Oryctolagus cuniculus: one gene and its partner. The main gene of each other region encodes a partner of the protein of the gene in region 2 in a complex. Links are inferred from orthologs where the notes say so. Each region holds a gene or a part of one and is shown on either strand. Other genes may lie near its edges.

The links.
Region 1: the proteins of GCC2 (region 2) and RAB6A are in contact, whole or in part, in a crystal structure (PDB 3BBP), measured with the Homo sapiens proteins. The link is inferred for Oryctolagus cuniculus from reciprocal best matches to the Homo sapiens genes GCC2 and RAB6A. Residues at the interface, in NP_852118.2 of Homo sapiens: Thr1585, Ile1588, Leu1589, Glu1591, Gln1592, Leu1595, Leu1596, Glu1599, Arg1602; in NP_942599.1 of Homo sapiens: Lys15, Ile46, Gly47, Ile48, Trp67, Arg74, Phe75, Ser77, Leu78, Ser81, Tyr82, Asp85.

The regions. Positions count from the first base shown.
Region 1 is NC_091432.1:65,087,717-65,093,443, forward strand, and holds the start of RAB6A (ras-related protein Rab-6A), read right to left. Parts: upstream 3,578-5,727; 5' UTR 3,061-3,577; coding exon 2,991-3,060; intron 1,446-2,990; exon of another isoform or gene 1,418-1,445; coding exon of another isoform or gene 1,381-1,417; intron 1-1,380. UniProt on the Homo sapiens protein: The small GTPases Rab are key regulators of intracellular membrane trafficking, from the formation of transport vesicles to their fusion with membranes.
Region 2 is NC_091433.1:100,349,032-100,354,268, forward strand, and holds part of GCC2 (GRIP and coiled-coil domain-containing protein 2), read right to left. Parts: intron 4,907-5,237; coding exon 2,438-4,906; intron 1,436-2,437; coding exon 1,366-1,435; intron 1-1,365. UniProt on the Homo sapiens protein: Golgin which probably tethers transport vesicles to the trans-Golgi network (TGN) and regulates vesicular transport between the endosomes and the Golgi.

The sequences.
Region 1 (5,727 bases), on a different chromosome or scaffold from region 2:
TCCATTTCTTATCCAGCTCCCTGCTTTTTCCCTAGGAAAAGCAGGAAAAGATGACCCAAGTATTTGGGCCCCAGCCACTTGAGGGAGGCATGCATGAAGCTCCTGGCTTCGGCCTGGTCCAGTACTGGGCATTGCAGTCATCTGGGAAGTGAACCAGATGGAAAACTTCCCCCTCTGTCTTGCTCTCTACCCTACCCTCAACTCTTTCAAAATAAATAAATTAAAAAAAAAACAAAAAACAAAAAATTAACTTCACCATAGCAGAAAAATAGCACAGGCTACAACCTTTGGTTACTACTAGATTCAACCACTATTTTATCAAATATTTCTGAGCACTCAATGGGGAACACAATGAACAAAAACAATAACGGGATTTGCATCTTGCTGTGGGAAATAGACAAAAACAACAACAACAAAAAATAATATAATTATAAATGAGGTAAATGCTACTAAAGAAACAAACAAGGCTTTGCCATAGAGTACAGGCTTTGAGAGCTAAATTGTGGAATTCTAACAGATCCAAAAATAAATAATTCATGAAGAATTACATCAAGATGACAGATTCTACAGACCTCTGCTAATGCATAAGAAAACTAGACACTGACCACAGAAAGTGAGATCAATCTTTCATTGTCAAAGCTATTGGGTAATATTACTTAGCAGTACAGTAGCCTTCAAAAGATAATTAACCTCACAATTCAGAGAAAAAAGCATGTAAACACAATCCTGAAAACCGTCTAAGTGGAGCCTATGGACAACTAACCGTAATGTGGTATCCTGAACTGAGTGTTGAAACAGAAAAAGAACATGAGTTAAAAACTAAGGCAATCTAAATTACGGACTTTAGCTAATAACGTCTCAATACTGGCTCACTGTTAATAAACATATCGTACTAATGTAAGATGTCAGTAACAGGGGAAACCAGGTGCAGGAATATATGGACACCCTCCACACTATCATCTCAATGCTTCTGCAAATCTGAAACTGTTCTAAAAAATGAAGCCCATTTTCTTTTTGTAATCTCACAAGGCTTCAAGAATTATAGGAGTAGAGAATTAATAAAACAGCTAACGGAAGTAAACAAAACTCTGTAATTTAGAACATAAACACCTAAGAAATTCAAAAGAATCCTGCAGACTAAAGATCTCTATTTATGCTGAAGTATTCCCAGACACAAAGATTAATGCCTTTCTCATGCAAACTAAATGGCTCTGCAACACAACATAAGGCAGGCAATAACATCCCTAAAGTGCACAATAAGCCCATTAGGGTCTATTTATCAATAATGACCAATAAACTGTATTTTATGCATGGCACTTTCTTGAAACTGCCATATAATAATGGCTGAACCAGTTCCATGGGTTCTAACAATTTGCTCACCTAAAGGAACATGTTCATACTTCAGGAAAATCCACATGCAAAGAGAGGGAGATCGTTTCCTTCCTCTGGTTAAGGGAAGATAATCCATGTATGAAAGGAGACAAGTTATTTTCTAGGTCCAAATGGAGGCAATTTTGCAACAAGCATTAACCTACTATATTGTCATACAAATTAGTATAAATAGTTCAAGGTAATAGTAACAGCTATGAATTTATATCATTGATATGCCTTCCAGTCAAAGCAAATAACTAATGGCTTCTATAACCTCACCTAAGATAACTAGATTTCCAAAACTTGATGACTTGGTACTAGTCTCTCCATTTCTGAAATTAAAGATGGTCATGAAAAATTTGAGAGAAACAAAGGACGGTGACTCTCTCAATTACTGTCAAGTTTGTATAATATAGCATAAAACTATCATTACCATAAGAAGTACTCTTAGAGACAGCCATTACAAAATTAAGATGTTGTATCTAATACAAAATACATCAACAATCCTGACCAGGTAAATGACATAACAATTTCACTCATCAGATACCATAAAACATTAAGCATTAAAAAAAAATTAGCCCAAATGGCATTTAAATCTAATTTAGGTAACTAGATGATGAATCTATTCCTACTCTACTCCATTACCCAAAGGAAATCTTACAAAAGATGTTCATCCTAAGCCTTCTCTCACATAAATCATATATATATATATATTTAAACTGGAAAACACTCAAGAAGAAATGAATAATTAACATTTCCCAGTAATTCCTGTGTGCACCACCATGAGGAGAATCGGACACTGCTTCTTGATGAAAAAAGGGGAGGTGAGATGTTGAAAAATTCCAAGTAAAACGATCATGACATAGCATCTGGCAGAGATCGAAAAAGCATCAACAATGCCCAAAGAATTGTCGGCGATGAAAGTCAAGAGAAAAAATAAGGTTTTGCCGACAAGCCACAGCCCAATCCATGGGGCAAAAAAAAAAAAATCGCCACTGCCGACGACACCGCGCTCACCCCCGACCACCCCATTCTCAAATCGCCCCCAATTTTGAAATATTTCCTCTACAGCCAGACCAATTCCCCACCCAGGTGAAAACCTGCCGCGATTTTTTTTTTCTCCTACGCCCACCACTCCTCCCCTCCCAGGAGCTCAGCACTTCCAAGGGCCAAGCCTCTGGGGAAAACAACGCCCAGCTCCCACCCGCCGTGCCCAAGGTTGAAGAAGGGCCGGTCCCCAGGAGCGGGGGCTTCCCGGGGTGGGCCTCACCTCGCCCGCGAGCTGAGGACGGAGCAGGGGACAAGGGTGGGGCTCAGGAAAGCAGGGGGGTCGAGAGGACGCTGGGGCCCGGAGGAAGAAAGAGATGGACAAGGCGGCTGGGGCTGGGCGGGGTGAGGACGGGCCGGGCTGCGGGGACCCCGGCAGCAGGCAGGCTCGGGACTCGGGGCCGGCGGAAAAATGAAAAACCCGACCCAGCGAGCAGGGCCAAGAGGGGCCGGGGTGGAGCGGAGCGCGGACGCGAGGTCGGCAGGGAGCCTCCGCGGACGGGAGGGCCGCACCGGGGGCGGTGCGGGGAAGCCGCGGCCGGCTGCCAGGAGTGGGGGAGCCGCGCACTCACCGCTCTGCTCCCCCAGGAACACCAGCTTGAATTTCCTCAGCGGATTCCCGAAGTCTCCGCCCGCGGACATGATGGAGCCGGAGGAGCTGCTGCCGCCTCAGCCCAGAGACCGCCCGGACCGACGCTGCTCCAACCGGCTGCCGATAAGGGCGAGCGGAAAGGCGAGTGCCGAGCTCTCTCGGCCCCTGCAGGGCCCCGGCGGAGCAGCGAGGCTGGAGGACGGCGGGACTCGCCACAGACGAGCAGCAGCAGCCGCCGCCTCCCCGCAGAGTCGCCTAACACCGAGCGAGGCCCGCGGCTGGGAGGCGAGGGAGGGCGGTGTCGAAACACCCAGGGCTGTGCTCAGGGCTCCTGAGGCTAGCACCGCTCCCTTCCTCAGCGCCCAGCACGGAGACTGGGGTGGGAGAGGCGGAAGGTGGCGCAGCGGTAGCCGCAGACGCGTCCGGGACCTCTCACACCCAGCTCCTCCGCTGCCGCCGCCGCCGCAGCCCAACCTGCTGAGTGCGCGAGCCTCTGGCGCGGCGCAGGGCGAGCCCGGGCGCGAGCCTGCCGCCCCTCCGGCAGCCGGCGTGCGTGCGTGCGTGCGTGCGCGTGCGCGTGCGCGCCTCCGCCAGCGCCTTCCTGGTCCAGCCAGCTGTCCTCGCTCCTCCCGCGCCGCGGAGTCTAAGGCAGGGAGAACCGAGGAGGGGGCGGGGCGGAGAAAGGGGCGGTATGTGGTTGGGGGGGCAGAGAGGAAAAATGGAACACTTACGTCACTTACGGGGTGGGCCAATGGGAAGAGGCCGAGGGCAGGCAGGGAGCAGAGCGAGGTGGAGGCGCGAGAGCGCGCGCGGCCGTGGAGGCGTGGAAAGCGGACCGCTGCGGCGGCCATGCTGAGTGTGGCAGGGCGCAGCCTGGGGGCGGGAGGTGGAGAAGAGGAGGGAAAGGAAGATGGAGCCGGCGGAGGCGGGGCCGGGACGGAGGCGGAATGACCCCGGCGGTGTGCGGTTGGGACCGGATACCCTCGAGGTGTGAAATAGGTGCCTCTTGCCCGAGCTTTCAGTATTGCCTCACAGCCCTCGGGGCCGCCCTTCTCGCGTGTGCCCACCCCCACCGTCATCTTCATCTTAATTCTTCTCACGGCGTCTTAGACTCGGTTGCTCCAAGGGTGTTTTAGCTGCCAGAATCAGGGCCTCCTTATTCTGCACAGGAGGGAACAAACCCGGAGGGAGGAAATGACTTGCAAAATCCACAGGTTGTGAGGTGGCTCCCAGGTTCATTTGCCACCTGAACCTCTGCGACCCCTTTATTGGTAAACCCATCCAGTTCCCTCGCCTAAACTGGTTTGCTTGCTCCTTCGGCATTGCTAACTCTAGAGTCTAGATGATGCCCACCTTGCCAGAAAAGGGTTTACAGATCAGTTACACTCAGCCCCTTTTCACAGATAATGCAACTGAAGTCCACATAAGAAATTTCTTTCTGGAAGGCTACAAATTAGAAAGCCTGAGCGGTTAAGGGGGCCACCTGCGGCGCCAGCATCCCATATGGGCGCTGGTTCCAGACCCGGATGCTCCACTTCCAATCCAGCTCTCTGCTATGGCCTGGGAAAGCAGTAGAAGATGGCCTAAGTCCTGGCTTTGGATGGACCCAGCTCCTGCCATTGCGGCCATTTGGGGAGTGAACCAGTGGATGGTAGACCTTTCCTTCTCTCTCTCTATCCGCCTGTCTCTCTGTAACTCTACCTTTCAAATAAATAAATCCTAAAAAAAAAAAAAAAAAAAAAAAAAAAAATTACCCTTGCTGCTTGAAGCGGGGATTCTGCCACGAGTGAAGAAGGTTCCTTAAACTAACCCTATGAAGCAGGTGCGTTTTTCTGTGGAGAGGACCCATAGTTTTCATCCCATTTTCAGCCTACTTCATTGTCCAGAAAAGCAAAGTTGGGGTGGGTGTTCTGGCCCGCTGCTTAGGACGCCCACAGCCTCTACTAGATTGCCTGGAATAGTGTCCTGGCTGTCCTTCCCATCCGCCTTCCTGCTAATGTGCCTGGGAGGCAGGAGATGATGGCCAAAGGGCTTGGGTTCCTGCCACCCATGTGGGAGAATCAGATGGGATTCTTGGTTCCTGGGCTTTGGCCTTCCCAGTCTCAGCTATTGCACGCATTTGGAGAGTGAACAAGCCAATGGAAGATTTCTGCCTCTCCCTCCTTAGGTCACTCTTGTCTTTCAAATGAAGAAAGTTGTAAAAAGAAGGTTAACGGCACAACCAAAAAGAATCTAAGAATTACTTAGTATAGTCTGGAAAACTAGGGGCCCACACTGAGGTGTAGTGGATTAAGCTACTGCCTGCAACACCAGTATATCGCATATATTTTTGTTTAAAAAAAAATGTGTGAAACTAACATGACATGCTAACTAACATGACACTAACAAAACAACTAAATGAAAGATTTTAAACATTTTTATTTATTTGAAAGGCAGAGTGACAGAGATGGAGACAAAGACAGAGATCTTCATCCAAATGCCCACACCAGCTGGTGCTGGGCCAGGCTAAAGCCAGGAACCAGAAACTCCACCCAGGTCTGCCACATGGACAGCAGGAAGCCAACTACTTGAGCTATCACCACCATCTCCCAGGGTGAGCGTTAGGAGGAATCTGAAATCAGGAGTGGAGCCTGGAGTCAAACCCAGACACTACCATATGGGATGAGGTTTCCCAGAGTGGCATCTTAACTGCTAGGCCAAATGTCTTCCCTAAAGAA
Region 2 (5,237 bases):
TTTTTTTTTTAAAAGATGTATTTATTTATTTGAAAGGCAGAGTTACAGAGGTAGAGAGAGAGATTGTCTATCTGCTGATTCACTCCCCAAATGCAATGGTTGGAGTTGGAACACTCGCGAGCCAGGAGCCAGGAGCTTCCTCTGGGTCTCCCACACGGGTGTAGGGGCTCAAGGACTCAGGCCATCCTCTGCTCCTTTCACAGGCCATAGCAGAGAGCTGGCTGGATTGGAAGTGGAGCAGCTGGGACTCGAACCAGCACCCATAAAGGATGCTGGCACTGCAGGCGGTGGCTTTACCTGCTATGCCACAGTGCCAGCCCCAGCTTTAGAATGTTTTATGCTCTAGGTTCTCCTAATTTATGGGGCTCCTTCTCAATCTTCCTTGTTGTGACTCCCTCCTCTATCTTTAAAGGACAGAGAACTGTCTCTGGTTCTCATCTTTTTTCTACACTCTTGGTGATACTCAATCTTGTGACTCTTAATACCCACTACTTAACAAATGTTTATCTCTAGCCTTGCTTTTCCCCTTATTTCTGGATATGCATGCCATTCTGTGTGACATCTCTGCTTGGATTCGTATTTAAACTTGTCTAAATCTGAGCATCTGAGCTTCCTGACCTGCTGCAATCACACGTTACAGAAAACTGGGAGTCATTCTACTCTTCCACCCCCACCCCCACTCTAACTGGGTGTTACACTGAGGAACCATGAGCACATTATATACAACACTGTGTCCCTGTCCTCATCTCACATGGGAGTGAATGTTGCTCATGAGGAGTAAATGGCTACGCGTAAACCACCAATTCTTCTGTGTATCACATAGCACACTGCGGTGAGGTTCCTGGCTAACTTTCCAAGAACCTCCCAATATATTACTTGGTATTGCTTATGTTAACACACAAATATCTACCATTGCTTCTTGCTAAAATGCCAAACTTTCGTGTTCAATTTCTCATTCTTCAATACCCAACTGAAGGCCCTATTCTGTGATGTTTTCTTAGGTCCTGATTTGAAACAGGCAACTTCCTGTGCTGTTAGTACTGCACCAGCCTCTCCTGACAGCTCTTTGAGCACATGGTCCACACCTTATTCATCTCCTTTCTGTTGCCAGTAACTAAACAGGTGGGCATTCAAATAAAGACTGTTAAATGAATGAAAAAATTTAAAAAAAATTTGTGGAACCATTTATACAGTGAAATTTGTGAAAGGAAAGGCACACAGATGGCAGGAGACGGGAAAGGAGGTGTGAGGTAAGGACTGCCACTTAACAACTCACTACCTGGCCTTTACAGTTCCCACTCTATTCCAACAGTAACAAGAATTTTTCTAATCAATTTGTGACAACATTTATAAAAGTGTAATTACCGATTTTTTCTTCCAGATCTTTCACTGAGGAGTGTTGATCAGTTTTTATATGTGTTTTCTCTAAAGAATCCTAGATTTTATAGGGAAAACAAAAACAAAAAAGAATTCATTTCATCCCCCATGATGAACTGACCATCTTATTAAGCATGAGAAAATCATTACCGAAGAGAATTCGTACAAAAAGTAATCTGGTCAACAGTCTTTCTTCCTGTGACAGAGCAGATAATACTGACCTATTATGCATCTGGCATGTACTAGAAACAGCAGTATCAAAGGCCAAGATGAACAACCTTACACATACGTAATAAGGAAAAGATGAACTGGTCATTATCATACTTTCAAAACATTTTTTTTTTTTTTTTGACAGGCAGAGTTAGACAGTGAGAGAGAGACAGAGAGAAAGGTCTTCCTTCTGTTGGTTCACCCCACAATGGCCACTGCACTGCGCCAATCCGAAGCCAGGAGCCAGGTGCTTCTCCTGGTCTCCCATGCGGGTGCAGGGCCCAAGCGCTTGGGCCATCCTCCACTGCACTCCTGGGCCACAGCAGAGAGCTGGACTGGGAGAGGAGCAACCGGGACAGAACCAGCGCCCCAACTGGGACTAGAACCCAGGGTGCCAGCGCTGCAGGTGGAGGGTTAGCCAAGTGAGCTGTGGCGCCGGCCCTCACAACATTTTTGAGAAAACCCTGCAATTTTAGCCAAAGCGAAATACCACTACAGCCAACTCTTCAGATTGACAGTGCAAAAAGAAAAAAAAAAAAAAAAAATCTAACCAGACAAAAATGACTTACGTTTTTTCATATCTAAATGGTTTCCCACTAACCAGCTATACACTTTTGATCATGATATTTAAATGTCTAATCATTTAATCTTAAGTTCAAAATTTTAAAATGATCTCAAGTGAAAGAAGAAATCAGTATAATTAAACAGGATATACTGTAATAAAATGTCTAATGTATTTTTCAGAAATGTGTCATTTGAGTTTAAATACTTTTGACTTCAAACCATAAAAACATTTATATTTATATTTTCTAGTCTATGACAAGAACTAAGAACTTGAATTAAGTAGTACCTTTAATAACATCAACTCTGCTCTCACATCTTGTAATTCAGATTCTTTTTGTTCCAGTGATGACCTTAGGTTTTCATGTTCCATTATGAAAGAGTCTTTTTCATTATGGGTTTCATTTTTGTCATACTTTTGAGACAATTCTTCAACCTGAATTAAAAGATTCTGATTTTCAAGCCTTGTTTTTTCATTGGCATTTTTCATTTCTAGAAGATCAAATTGCAGAGACTCCTTTTCTGCAATGGTTTCTTCTAACTCTCTCCTTAAGAGAGCTTTCTCTTGCTCATAGTCTCTTAATAAACATCTAAGTTCTTCACATTGAACTACATTCTCTTCCTGAAGGAACTTAATATTTTTTTCTAACTCTAATACCTTTTCATCATATTGAGAAGACAAGTTATGTTTTTCCTCATTTAATTTTGCTAAGGCTTCACCTATGGCTTGTAGGACACTTATAGCATCTTGCTCTTCATTTTCTTCTGAAACTTCCGATCCCATCTGTTTAAGAAAACCATACAACTGTGTTTTGACAAATAACTTCTGAGCTTGTTCATTTTCAAACAGTTTACTTAAATCGTCTCGCTCTTCAACTGTTAACTGAAGCTTCTTTTCTAATTCAGTAATATGTTCTTTAAGGCTAACATCATCTTTTCCAGATAAAAGAGCTTCCAAATCCTTACTCAACTGGTTCTTTTCTGAACTTAGTCTATTATTCTCTTCATTAAGAGACTTCACTTCAGATGCCAATGCTTCTTGGTCTTCAGAGAGAGTTTTAACTTGAACCATTAGTTTTTCTACCTGCTGGTCATTTTGGTTCTTTTTTTTTAAAGTTTCTTCTAGCTGTCCTGTTAATTCATTTACCTTTTGCTCTAATTCACTGTTGTACTGGGTACTCTGTTCCACTTTCTCCTCAAGTTCTATAATCAATCTTTCCTGCTTTTCACATTTTTCATGGAGATTATCTACCTCTTCATGAGAATTTTTTATTTTACTTAGGAAATCATCCTTTTCCTCAGTGAGGGAGTTTATCTTTGCTTCCAATTCTTGCAACATGGTATCTCTCTGACTGAGGCTAACTAAGTACTCTTCATTCTTTTCTTGAAGGCTCTTTATGGTATTTTCAAGTTCTGGTACTAATTCTTGTAGAGACAGTAACTTTTCATTTTCTCCTTTGAGCTGATTCACAGTTTCAAGAAGAGCATCTTTCTCATTGAAAGCAGTTCTGAGTTTCTGCTGAAGTTCATGAACATCAGATGCTTGTTGCTGCTTCATTGACTCAAATTCCTGACTTATTTTTCCAGCAGATTCTCCCAGTTCCGTCTGTAAAATTTCCATAATCTCTCGCAAACTCTCATAATTTAAGATTGCTTCTTGCTTTTCTTGCTGTAGGTTTTCACATTGTTCTTTAAGGCCCTGTATTTCAAACATTAATGCTAATTTTTCTTTCTCTGAACTTGACAGAAATGTTTCATTTAGTTCTGATATTTCTTTTTGATATTGATCCTTAAGACTCTGTACTTCTTTGTCATGTTTTTCTACAGTACAGTAAAACTGTCGATTTAAATCTTCTAGCTCAGATTTTAATTTTTCAATTATACAGCCCTGATCTTCTTTAGCTAGTAACAGTTCATTAATTTTAAACTCTAAGTCTTCCCGCTCATGAAAAAACTCATCCTTTACATGTTGGGCATCCATTTCAAGTTTTAATTTAAGATTATTCATATAGGTTACCTCATCTTTTAATATACTATGTTGAGATTCCAGTTCTTTTAAGGTATCTTCTAAGTGTTTGACTTTTTCGTTTACTACCTGGTCTACAACAGTATCTTCTTTTAAGAGCACAGAACATATCTGACTTTCCTGGCTTGCATTTGAGGTGGCTTTCTTCAAGTTTTCTAATTCACATTCATATTTCTCCTGAATATTCTTCTCACTTGCCTCACACTGCTTTACTAAGTTTTCGTTTAGTTGGTTTAACTTATTTATTTCTGTTTCATGCTCCTTAGCTGATGTTTCAATTTGGCACATCAATTCTTTGACCTTTTCTTGGTGTGTAGCTTTCAACTGGAAAAGCTCTTCTTGCAAACTACTTATATCTTTTTGGTAGTGCTGAGAATTAGACTCAATAACTTTTTGGAGGTGAGCAATTTCTTGTTTCTTTTCATCAGTCGTAGCTTCTAACTGCTTCTGTAAATATAAAATTTGCTCCTCAAAAGCTGGTCTAATTTTCTGTATTTCTTCTTGTAGCTTTTTAACATTATCCTCAGAGTCACTCTGAATTTTAAGTTGTTCTGAAAGTTCTAATTGTTTATTTATTGCTGCTTCCAGTTCTTTTTGCAAGCTAGCTTTATCTTCACTGTGTTTGGAATGTACTGCCAACAACTCATTTTTCAGAGTTTCAATTTCTTTCACGTAGTGTCTATGTGACTGTTCAAACTCCTCCCGCACATCTTCCATCTTAGTTACAGAATCCTATTACAAAATAAACACATATAAATTATTTAAGTAAGGCAAAAGAAAGCCCTGCCCTCAGGAAAAATATGATTCTTAGGCTAACTACAGAAAAAAGGAAATGAGCAAAAACAACCCTAGAGAAAGAATGTATCTGCCTTCTTAAGTATTGAATCTATCATTTCAAGTAATAATAACTAGAAAATCTCTGAATTTAATTTTATTTTAAAAGGTGATAAATTATGTAAGCTGTATAAGTCATAAAGCTTTTAACTAACAGCTTCTGAATAAATAGACTTTTTGGATAAAATTAGCCCAGATCTAACTGGCAAGAAAGCAAAAATATGACAAT